Linked DNA regions of Drosophila melanogaster. The main gene of each other region encodes a partner of the protein of the gene in region 2 in a complex. Each region holds a gene or a part of one and is shown on either strand. Other genes may lie near its edges. The genes, in order: GatB and GatC.

What was found.
Region 1: GatC (region 2) and GatB share a complex: the UniProt entries of both Drosophila melanogaster proteins name them as parts of the heterotrimeric GatCAB amidotransferase (AdT) complex.

Annotation. Positions count from the first base shown.
Region 1 is NT_033777.3:24,127,239-24,132,170, forward strand, and holds GatB (Glutamyl-tRNA amidotransferase, subunit B), read right to left. Parts: upstream 3,018-4,932; 5' UTR 2,946-3,017; coding exon 2,884-2,945; intron 2,831-2,883; coding exon 2,686-2,830; intron 2,628-2,685; coding exon 2,514-2,627; intron 2,450-2,513; coding exon 2,134-2,449; intron 2,079-2,133; coding exon 1,654-2,078; intron 1,585-1,653; coding exon 1,448-1,584; intron 1,385-1,447; coding exon 1,261-1,384; intron 1,202-1,260; coding exon 974-1,201; 3' UTR 811-973; downstream 1-810. Other genes in the region: Root (rootletin), read left to right, coding at 1-109, 170-345, 402-465; Tsc1, read left to right, coding at 3,428-3,521, 3,582-3,838, 3,900-4,932. UniProt on the Drosophila melanogaster protein: Allows the formation of correctly charged Gln-tRNA(Gln) through the transamidation of misacylated Glu-tRNA(Gln) in the mitochondria. The reaction takes place in the presence of glutamine and ATP through an activated gamma-phospho-Glu-tRNA(Gln).
Region 2 is NT_033779.5:13,830,725-13,834,907, reverse strand, and holds GatC (Glutamyl-tRNA amidotransferase, subunit C), read left to right. Parts: upstream 1-1,802; 5' UTR 1,803-1,836; coding exon 1,837-2,283; coding exon of another isoform or gene 2,284-2,970; intron 2,971-3,024; coding exon of another isoform or gene 3,025-3,419; 3' UTR 3,420-3,426; downstream 3,427-4,183. Other genes in the region: mRpS23 (mitochondrial ribosomal protein S23), read left to right, coding at 25-186, 248-611; Polr2C (RNA polymerase II subunit C), read right to left, coding at 657-1,484; PolG2 (DNA polymerase gamma subunit 2), read left to right, coding at 2,280-2,970, 3,025-3,419; Orc5 (origin recognition complex subunit 5), read right to left, coding at 3,436-3,720, 3,774-4,183. UniProt on the Drosophila melanogaster protein: Allows the formation of correctly charged Gln-tRNA(Gln) through the transamidation of misacylated Glu-tRNA(Gln) in the mitochondria. The reaction takes place in the presence of glutamine and ATP through an activated gamma-phospho-Glu-tRNA(Gln).

The DNA.
Region 1 (4,932 bases), on a different chromosome or scaffold from region 2:
TGATGGCTTAGATGGAGATCGTTATCGCAGTGCTCAGATGCACGCAGAGAAGCTTCTTGACGCCAGGGAGCAGTCGCATCGGCAACAAGTGCTGCGCCTGGAGAACCAGGTTGGTTATCCTATGCAAATTTGAAGGTATAAGATCTATTTCAACTCCCTCACTTTACAGATCTCAATGCTGCGCGAGCAGTTGGCCCAGGAGGCCAAACGGCGACAGCAGTACATTCTACGCAGCTCGAAGGCCAATAGAGAAATGCAGCATCTGAGGAGCACCCTAGGAGATTCCCTGCGCAATGTCTCCCAGCACCCGGTGGATCCCCATCTCTTGGAAAGCGAGAGCCGGCGGTGAGTTGCATGCCCTTATTTGTTCTTCCAAAACTAAATTACATTATACATTTCAGTCTCGACTCGGCCGTTTCAATGAGCCTGCCACCGTCGAGCTGCCGGGACTATGATCGCGATTAGAGTGATGTGAAGTTAAGATTTGGTTAAATTTGATCCCGCCAAGAAGACGTAACGCTCACTGCCATTTGCATTTATTTAGAAAAAGGCTTCCTGGAGTCCTCCAGACGCATCTGAGTTAATCATCACGTGCATTTCAACTCGTTTGCCTTAGTACAATTCTAGCTGTTCATTGTCTGCCCTGTTAGACAATCGAATATAGTGCGTTCCATCCAGTCGCAGCGATGATGCCATCCTTACATCTCCACATAAATATCTATGCATTAATGGGTCACGAGTTCCGATTCTCCCTGAACGTGGGAGAACACCGAACTATATATCACACGACAATTAACATCATTTGCATTTACACATTGGCCAGAACACCGAACTAGTCAGCACGAAACAAAGCAACTATATTTAATACTTAGCATATTTAATCCTATATACAGTGCGGTTTGTCGACTGCATTTTTATAAAATATATACAAGCGAAACACACTCCTAATGAACACAACTATCGACCAGATCTCTTACTTATTGGTGGGTTTTAGCAGCTTTTCCAGACGCTGCACTACCAGCTTCATGTTGGCCTTTTGGGACGACAGTTTGGCAACTTCGCCTGCGATCGCGAACAAAGCTTTTGCCTTGCCTTTCTGGTACTGTTCGACTGCCTTGGCCTGGTTGGCGATAGCCAGCTGGCACAGGTTCTCGATCTCGTCCGGACTGCAGATTTGCTGCAGGCTGTGCAGTTCGATTAGCTGTGATGGGAAGATAATGTGTGTAATCTCATAAATTTGGAATATTAGGCGAAGCTTACCTCACTGACTTTCGCTTTGGGGTTATTATGAAGCAGATCAACCAGCTGACGTGCTGCCTGGAGATTTATCAGCTCGGCATGCAAGCTCATTAATATATCTTTCAAATCATCAGCCTTAATGGAGCTACATTAGGATGAACACAATAAATTAGTAAAATTCATTAGGTATGTTACTCCCTATTATTACCAATCCTCCACATCTAAGTTCAATTTGTTGCAATAGGTCAACAAATCGTTTATAAGAAAATTGCAAATGACTTTGTTGGGCAAATCACTTAAACTACGGGTAATGCTCAAGAAATGATCCAGCAGAATAGGTTCGTTCTGAAATAAAATCGAGGAGTGTTGCAATTTCAAATTTTTTGTTGACTCAAAAAGGATCAGAGCACGCACCACTAAAATGATGGCAGTTTCCGCATTCAGGTTGTGCTGCTCCACCAAACGTTGCCTGGTGTCCTCTGGTAATTCTGGAATTTCCTCGCTTAGAGCAGCCACTGAAAGTAAATCCTCTGTTGACATTGATCCAGGCTTTAGGTTTACATGAAGGGGTGGTAGATTCGGCTCCGGCATGAATCTGTAGTCCTGCAGCACCTCTTTGTCACGCATGGCCACTGTGCGCCGGTTCTCCGCATCCCAGTTGCGAGTCTCATTTGTAATTACACCGCCATTAGCCACAGTTTCTAGCTGTCTATTAATTTCATACGTAATTGCTTGCGAAATGCTTCGAACCGAGCCAATGTTTTTTACTTCGGTGCGGACTCCCAAGGGATCGCCTTCTTGGTGAATGGATATGTTGGCATCCACACGCAGGGCGCCCTCTACAATAAAAAATACTCGGTTTAAAAAAAGGCACACAAATCCCTTTTGACTCACCTTCCATTTTACAACTGCATGTCTGCAGACGCCTTAGTATCAGTATTAATTCCTTGACCAGCGATGCCGCTTCTTCGCCCGTTTCTAAATCTGGTGCAAAAACCAGCTCCATTAGAGGAAGTCCAGCACGATTAAGGTCAACCAGGCTCCTTTTGAGATAATCATCGTGCAGAGATTTACCACTATCCTGTTCCAATTGCAACTGCAGTAGTTTGGCGGTCTTGTAGTAAACTTTTTTGCCTGGTGTTATCACGGGGAAAGTCATTTTTCCATCATTGGCCAAAGCGGCGCGCTGCTGCGTGATTTGGTAGCCATTCTGGGGAGGAGAAGTTTATTACTTATAAGGCTTAGCGTGGTGTAAACTGAAATTTGAATCTTACAGGCAAATCTGCATAGAAGTAGTGCTTGCGGTCAAACATGGACACTTCGTTCACCCGACATCCCAAAGCAAGTGATGTCTTAATGCCGGATTCCACACATTTTCTGTTGAGAACCTAAAAGCAGAGGATACAATGTAATGATGGCGTCTTAAGTGAGAGTACCTATTCTCACTGGCAATGTTCCCGGTATGGAGGCATCAAAATACGCCACCGAAGAGTTAAGTGGTGCTCCAAAGGATGTGCCACTGCCGGAAAACAGTTTGGACGCACTGGCAATCTGTGCGTGCACCTCCAAACCCACAACGCTTTTCCATTTCCTGAAATTCAGAGCGTTGGAATGAATCCTTATAATATTAATTCACATAATTACCTTTTGGGAACGTTGGCTAGCTTTGGCGCCGTTACCAGTTTTCGGATTATTGAGTAATGCATTATTTTACATCGATTATAACATTCGCACCGGAATTGGCAAAAAGTTGCGCCAAAACAGCTGATGTTGTTTTGATTGCGGCCAAAGCTGCCGGACATTCGCCAGCGGCGTTGCCAGACAAAACCATCGATTGGCTGGCGATAACAGCGCAAGAGGAATATCACAAAAAAATAACCTTTTCATTTTCAAGACAAACATGTAAAAAAATATGAGTTTAGCAGAGGTAAGCATTTTAAATGTGCACTCCACAACCGAAACAATAGTGCAGTGCATCGAACGCAGTGGGAATTTCAATGCCAACCCTTGTTCTCCAGTTCACAGCGACCAAGACGAGAAAAAGCACACGCAGCTCTGCAAAAGACAACCACGACGACGAGTGAGTGGAGTAGAAGGACCAGGAGCGGAGTAGCAGGAGCAGGAACAGTCGACCGAGGGCGGGCGGAAAAATCAATCATAGCGACAGGAAACCAATAAAGCCGCCGTCATGGTGATTGAGAAGATCATTGGTGACCTGGAGTCCAACATGACGCTGGAGAACGAGGAGGCCAAGCGCAAGCTTGTGGAGTTGCTATCCCAGAGTGAGTCCTCGCCAGTTTCAGTTAATATGCCACCTATTCCAACATACCATTTCCCCACAGACAAGGAGCAGTGGGTGGTAAAGTTCATGCTGGACTACTTCTTTACAACTGGATCTCAGCGCATTTTGGAGGTACTGGTCAAAGCCCAGGCACCTCACGATGGGTACATCTTTGACAAGCTGGACGACTGCCTAAAGCAGTCGCAGCACCGAGTGCAGAGCCTCCAGGTGTTCTGCTTCATTGTGCGCCATCACCCTACTTGGCTGTACAAGATCGAGAAACACCGGCTGATCAAAAGTGTTTTTAAGCTTATGACGGTGAGTTTATGGGTGTTTACAATTTTGTCCGAGTTCAGCATCACTTCCATTTCTCTGACAGCACGAGAAGGAGATAGTTCCGCTGATGAGCGCCCTGTTGTGCATAATTACTCTGCTGCCGATCATACCGAATTCTGTGCCCAACTTTCTTAACGATCTGTTTGAGGTGTTCGGGCATTTGGCCTCGTGGAAGCTGCAGAATAGCAATAAACTGCCGGACGAGAAGCTCGTCCACCTGCAGTTGGGTCTACAGATGCTATTTCACCGCCTGTACGGCATGTATCCGTGCAGCTTTATTGCCTATTTAGTGGAGTTCATCAAGCGAGGCAACGGCGGGGGCATCTTCCAGCATACAATCAAGCCGCTGTTGAACACTGTGCGAGTGCATCCCATGCTGGTGACGGCCACGCCAGAGACTGAGGTAAACAATACGCGATGGAAGGAGATGGAGCCGCATGACGTGGTTATGGAGTGCGCCAACCTATCGCTGCCCGTCCTCTTGCCCGAGACGAGCAACGAAGACGGCAGCTATGCGTATCCCATGACGCCAGGATACAGTCGCATGACTTCAAATACCTCGAATACGGACTACAGCTATCAGCTGAGGGAGTTTCAGCAATCGAGAAATGTCTACACCCGCTTCGATTCGTTTGCCTCGGGTGATGATGTGGGTCCGATCTGGAGTCCGCATAACGAGATTGCCACGACCAGTAGCGGCATACCGCTTACACCCACCACATCGTTTATTTTGCCACTACAACCGGCTATGAACTCTCAGCTTATGGTTGGCATGACTGGCTCCTCACCGCCCGAAGCAGCTGTGGAGGCCACACCGGAAACCACCCCCTTAAAGGATATGAGGGATATCAAGCAGCCGGGACGTGCGGTCAATTCGCATGCTGTGAGAGCTATCTTCGCCGTAAGCCAGCCTTCTTCACCCATGCGCAAGGACCAGCAGAGTCAGTTCAGTTTCCCGGATGTCTCTCGCGAGGCGGAGGAGAGCAGCCACTCATATCTGGAGGTCAACAGAGGAACTGCCTATGACCGTCGCCTGTCGCAGGTCATCCAGGACAGGCATAACGTGGAGCGATCTG
Region 2 (4,183 bases):
GCTTTAAACACCCGACTCTTGCAGAGTTCAGGGCCTCCTACGCGGTGGAGCTATGAAAACCGAGGATAAACCCATTTGGTACGATGTGTACGCCGCCTTTCCGCCGAAACTGGAGCCCCGATTCGACAGACCCGCGCCTGAGATTCCAGTGCGCCAGATATTTTATGCCGAGGATGTTGTCCGAGCGTATGTTTTTCACCTGCAGTCGGGCTTATACCAATACTGAACTAATCTTGTACACCAACAGAAAGCTGCATAAAGAAAACAAACCCCAGGAAACGATATCCCTGTTTGACCACAGGCGCAGCACGCAGTCACAGCAATTTGTCCAAATATACCAGGACCTGAAAGGACAAGGAGCCCTGGATGAGCAAAGGATCTACGAGACCGCACTGGATCTTTTGGCGGAGCAGCGCCAGCAGGCCCGCCTGGAGACTACCCCAGAGGAATGCCTGCCAGAGCAGGATTCGGAATCCAAGTCCCAGCTGCTGAGCGACTTCAAGGAGGCTGTGGTGAGCCAGCAAATCACGTCGTCACCAGCACCACCTGCTCCCAAGGGAAAAAAGGAAGCGAACGTGGGCATTAACATAGACAGCTTGTTCAAGGATTAGGCGGAACATCTTTTATAAACTTAAAATAAACTTGTTATATGTAAATCAAACGGCCAATGCATCGTTTTGGGACTCGTGGCTGAGTTGCGTCTGCAGGTTTGACAGCTTGTTCTTCAGCACCTGCACACCCATGACCACAATGTTCTCAGGCTTAAGGGCACCGGCGGATTCGACGTTGAAGAAGAACTTGTTTGGCTTGGCTTCCCAGTTGTAGGGCGCCTCGTACTGGTCGTCCTCCAGTTCGGTGTGCTCGCTCTTTGGCCACTCATCAGGTTTGGGATACAGAGTGTGTCGCATGGAGTTGTCCGGATCATACTCGAAGCACACGCCTGCGGTAGGATTCCACTTGGCGTGCTCCTTGCCAAATCCCTTCTTGGCGTAGGCGCGCAGCTTCAGCTCCTGCCCCTTGCGCAGCTTAATTATGAGGATCTCATCGTTGCTCTCGCCGTACTCGTTGTCCTCCTCACCCTGGTTGCGGGACGTCACCGGCAGGACCTTGGCATTGCTCGACTTGAGATCGGCGGTGGTCACGTGGCGCGTCTGTTCCTCGCTGCACTTTACGTCCAGGGTGAACTCCACGCTGCATTCGGGGCAGAAGTCCAGGCAGATACAGTCACGCGTGTACTGCAGCCGCTCCACGACGTCGTCGGAGATCAGCGGTATCAGACCGATCCGGTGGGCTAAAAACTCATCCGAGAGCACCGTAGAGTTGGCTTCCAGTTGCACCCAGTCGATGGCCAGCGTCGGCGTCTCCGCGATGAACACTCGCCGCAGGCTGTTGGCCACACTCAGTTCCGTGTCCTCCAGGACGAACTTTACGTTGTCGTCCGTCAGCTCGGTTATCTGCACGGACGGCTGGTTGGCGTACGGCATTGCGGTTTTGTTTTGATGAAATTAAAGGGTCACGAAAAAAATAACCCGCTCAGTGAAAAGGAAGCGATGGAAGTGCAGCAATAACAGCCGGCGATAAGTGTGCCGTTATCGATTGTTGTTCTCGTTTCGGATTTATAGCTAGATTTTTAACAATAAGGGCTGGATATATTAAATTGAACAAATGTGATGGAGACATGTTTAATTAAACTAGATCACAATAACAAGAAAATTGCTTTAAATTAAGATAGAATAAACACATAAATCAACATTTTTGCAAGGACAATACTTTTCAGATAACATTTAGCTGATTGTTCCGAAACTCAGTTCCACCTCTGATTTTGTGCTGGTGAGAATGTTGCGTCTGTTCAGCAGCCGTTTTTACTGCAAAATTGCAACAAAATCGAATGAAAAGGCCACTAAATTGGACTTCAAGCAGCTAACGCATCCCACCAAGGTGCCACAGACACCAGTGGACTCGAAGTTTCCCGACACCAGCGCCTCCGAAATCCAGATCGACACGAAAACCATCCAGTTGCTGGAGCGGCTGTCGCTGGTGGATCTGGATAGCGAACGAGCGCTGGCCACGCTAAAGAGCAGCATACAGTTCGCGGACAAGATTGCCCATATCAACACGGAGCACGTGCGTCCACTGTACACGGTCCTGGAGCATCAGCAGCTCCAGTTACGCAACGACCAGGTGACCGAAGGCGATTGCCGGGCGGAGGTGCTCCGGAACGCCAAGGTGACGGACGAGGACTACTTCGTTTCGCCGCCGGGCAACATTCCGCTGGAGCAATGAGTCGCATACAACGATGCTTTAAGTCCCTGGCTTCCGCTGGCTTCTTTCGCACCGTGGAAGACAATAAACTGGAGCTACTGAGTCATGGAAGGGAATACGCCAAACTGTTGCAACAGCATTGGACACGACTACGTCCCTTGGCTGCGCACCTGGGCGCCACGAAAGAACCCATAAATCCAGTCAACATCCAGCGTTTTTCCTTTCCACAAAGCCAGCAATTCCGTAACAATTTCCAAAAACTCGTCAAAGATCATCCTCGAAAGGCCAAATGTCCCACTCTTCTGAAACATCAAAGCACTTGTTCTGGTCCCACTAGCAATTCCCTATTTGGGATAAAGGGTCCTACGCTACATTTAACCACGGACTTCCTAGTGGAACCACATCGCGCACTGGAGCACTTCTACAACATGCAGCGTGAGAGCAAGATCTGGTGGATGCGTCTTTCCTCGAATCCCAGTCGCTACCGCATCGTACCTTGCGATTTGGCTGAGGATCTCAATCCCAACGACTATCAAGCCATCGATATCCGCACGAGCTACGGTGATGCAGGAGAAGTGACCGTGGAGCAACTGAGCCTGGTGAGAATAGTGGACGACAAAGACTTCCGGCTGCCCGATGCGCGAACGGGTGAAATTGTGCAACCGACTGTCATAAGGTCTGTGATAGAGCTGGAAACTACCACCTGCGGTAAGTGGTCATCATAACTATCTTTGAAAATCTTTCTATATTATTATCCTTTAGCTCTGCTTCTGGATGGCTGTGATCATGGCCGGGACTCGCAATCCCTGCTCTTACACCGCGTTCTGGCGCCATATCAATGTGGAATTGCCTGTGTGGAAAGTGATTCCGAGCTATCTGCTGACTTGTCTGATCTTTGTCAGCATCTGAAACATGTTCTCAACCACGCCGGTCTTAGACTTTCTGAAGGGGATGGAATTCGTACGACGAAGAACGCTTCTCATTTAGCAGAGCACTTGCTGGAAACGGATATGCTCGGCATACCTTATACACTTGTTATAAACGAGCAAACGCTAAGAAACGGACTGATGCAGTTGCGCAGCCGGGACACAAGGCTGGCGGAGACCATACACATAAGCGATGTACCGGACTATTTATTAAATATATTTAAAAACTAAAAAAAACAACCAGGGGCTACATAAAGTCGCAGAGATATTGGCGGACATTAAAGCCCACCACCTTGCCAATCTGCAGGACAAACTCCAAGCCAATGGTGCACTGCAGCCTAGCGGAACCTTCCATTATGTTTTGTTCGCCGGAGACGAAGCTTAGTAGATTGAGGTGCACCAAAGTTGAGATCTGGGAGAGAAGGTTGCAGGTCAGACCGACTTTCTCCTCTAGAATGGCGTAGAAAATGGCCAGCAAACGATCGATGCTAAAGGATTTGGGTCCCAAAGTGGTGGACATTTTCTCCGTGGTCTAAAAGGTATTAAAATAAGCAAATGGAGTCATCGAAAAATTGAATAACCCACCTTGGCTCTGGCGTTGACCGTCTGCATCCGCTTTCGCTGTTTTCCATGGTGCTTGACGAACAATCGCTTGTCCTGCTTGGCGGCATTGTGGCTGGCTAAGAAGGCAGCGATCAACAGAAATTTGGCATAGTAGGGCAGCTCCAGCGACTGCGCCAGCTTGCGAACGCTCTGATCTTCTATGGCGGTGAAATCTTCAACTTCTTCCGCGGGTTTTTCAATTCGCATATAAATCTGGGTTAAGGCGGAACGCAGTGGTCCAGCTATATGCCGCCAAAGCCGGGAGATGTCCGTGGCATCCACAGTGCCGTCGAGTACAGGCTCCAAGTATGTGGACAGACACTTCCTGGCGGTCAGCTGGAGCTCTGGAACATCGCGACAGGCTTTGTAAAAGACGCTCAGAAAGAGATTCA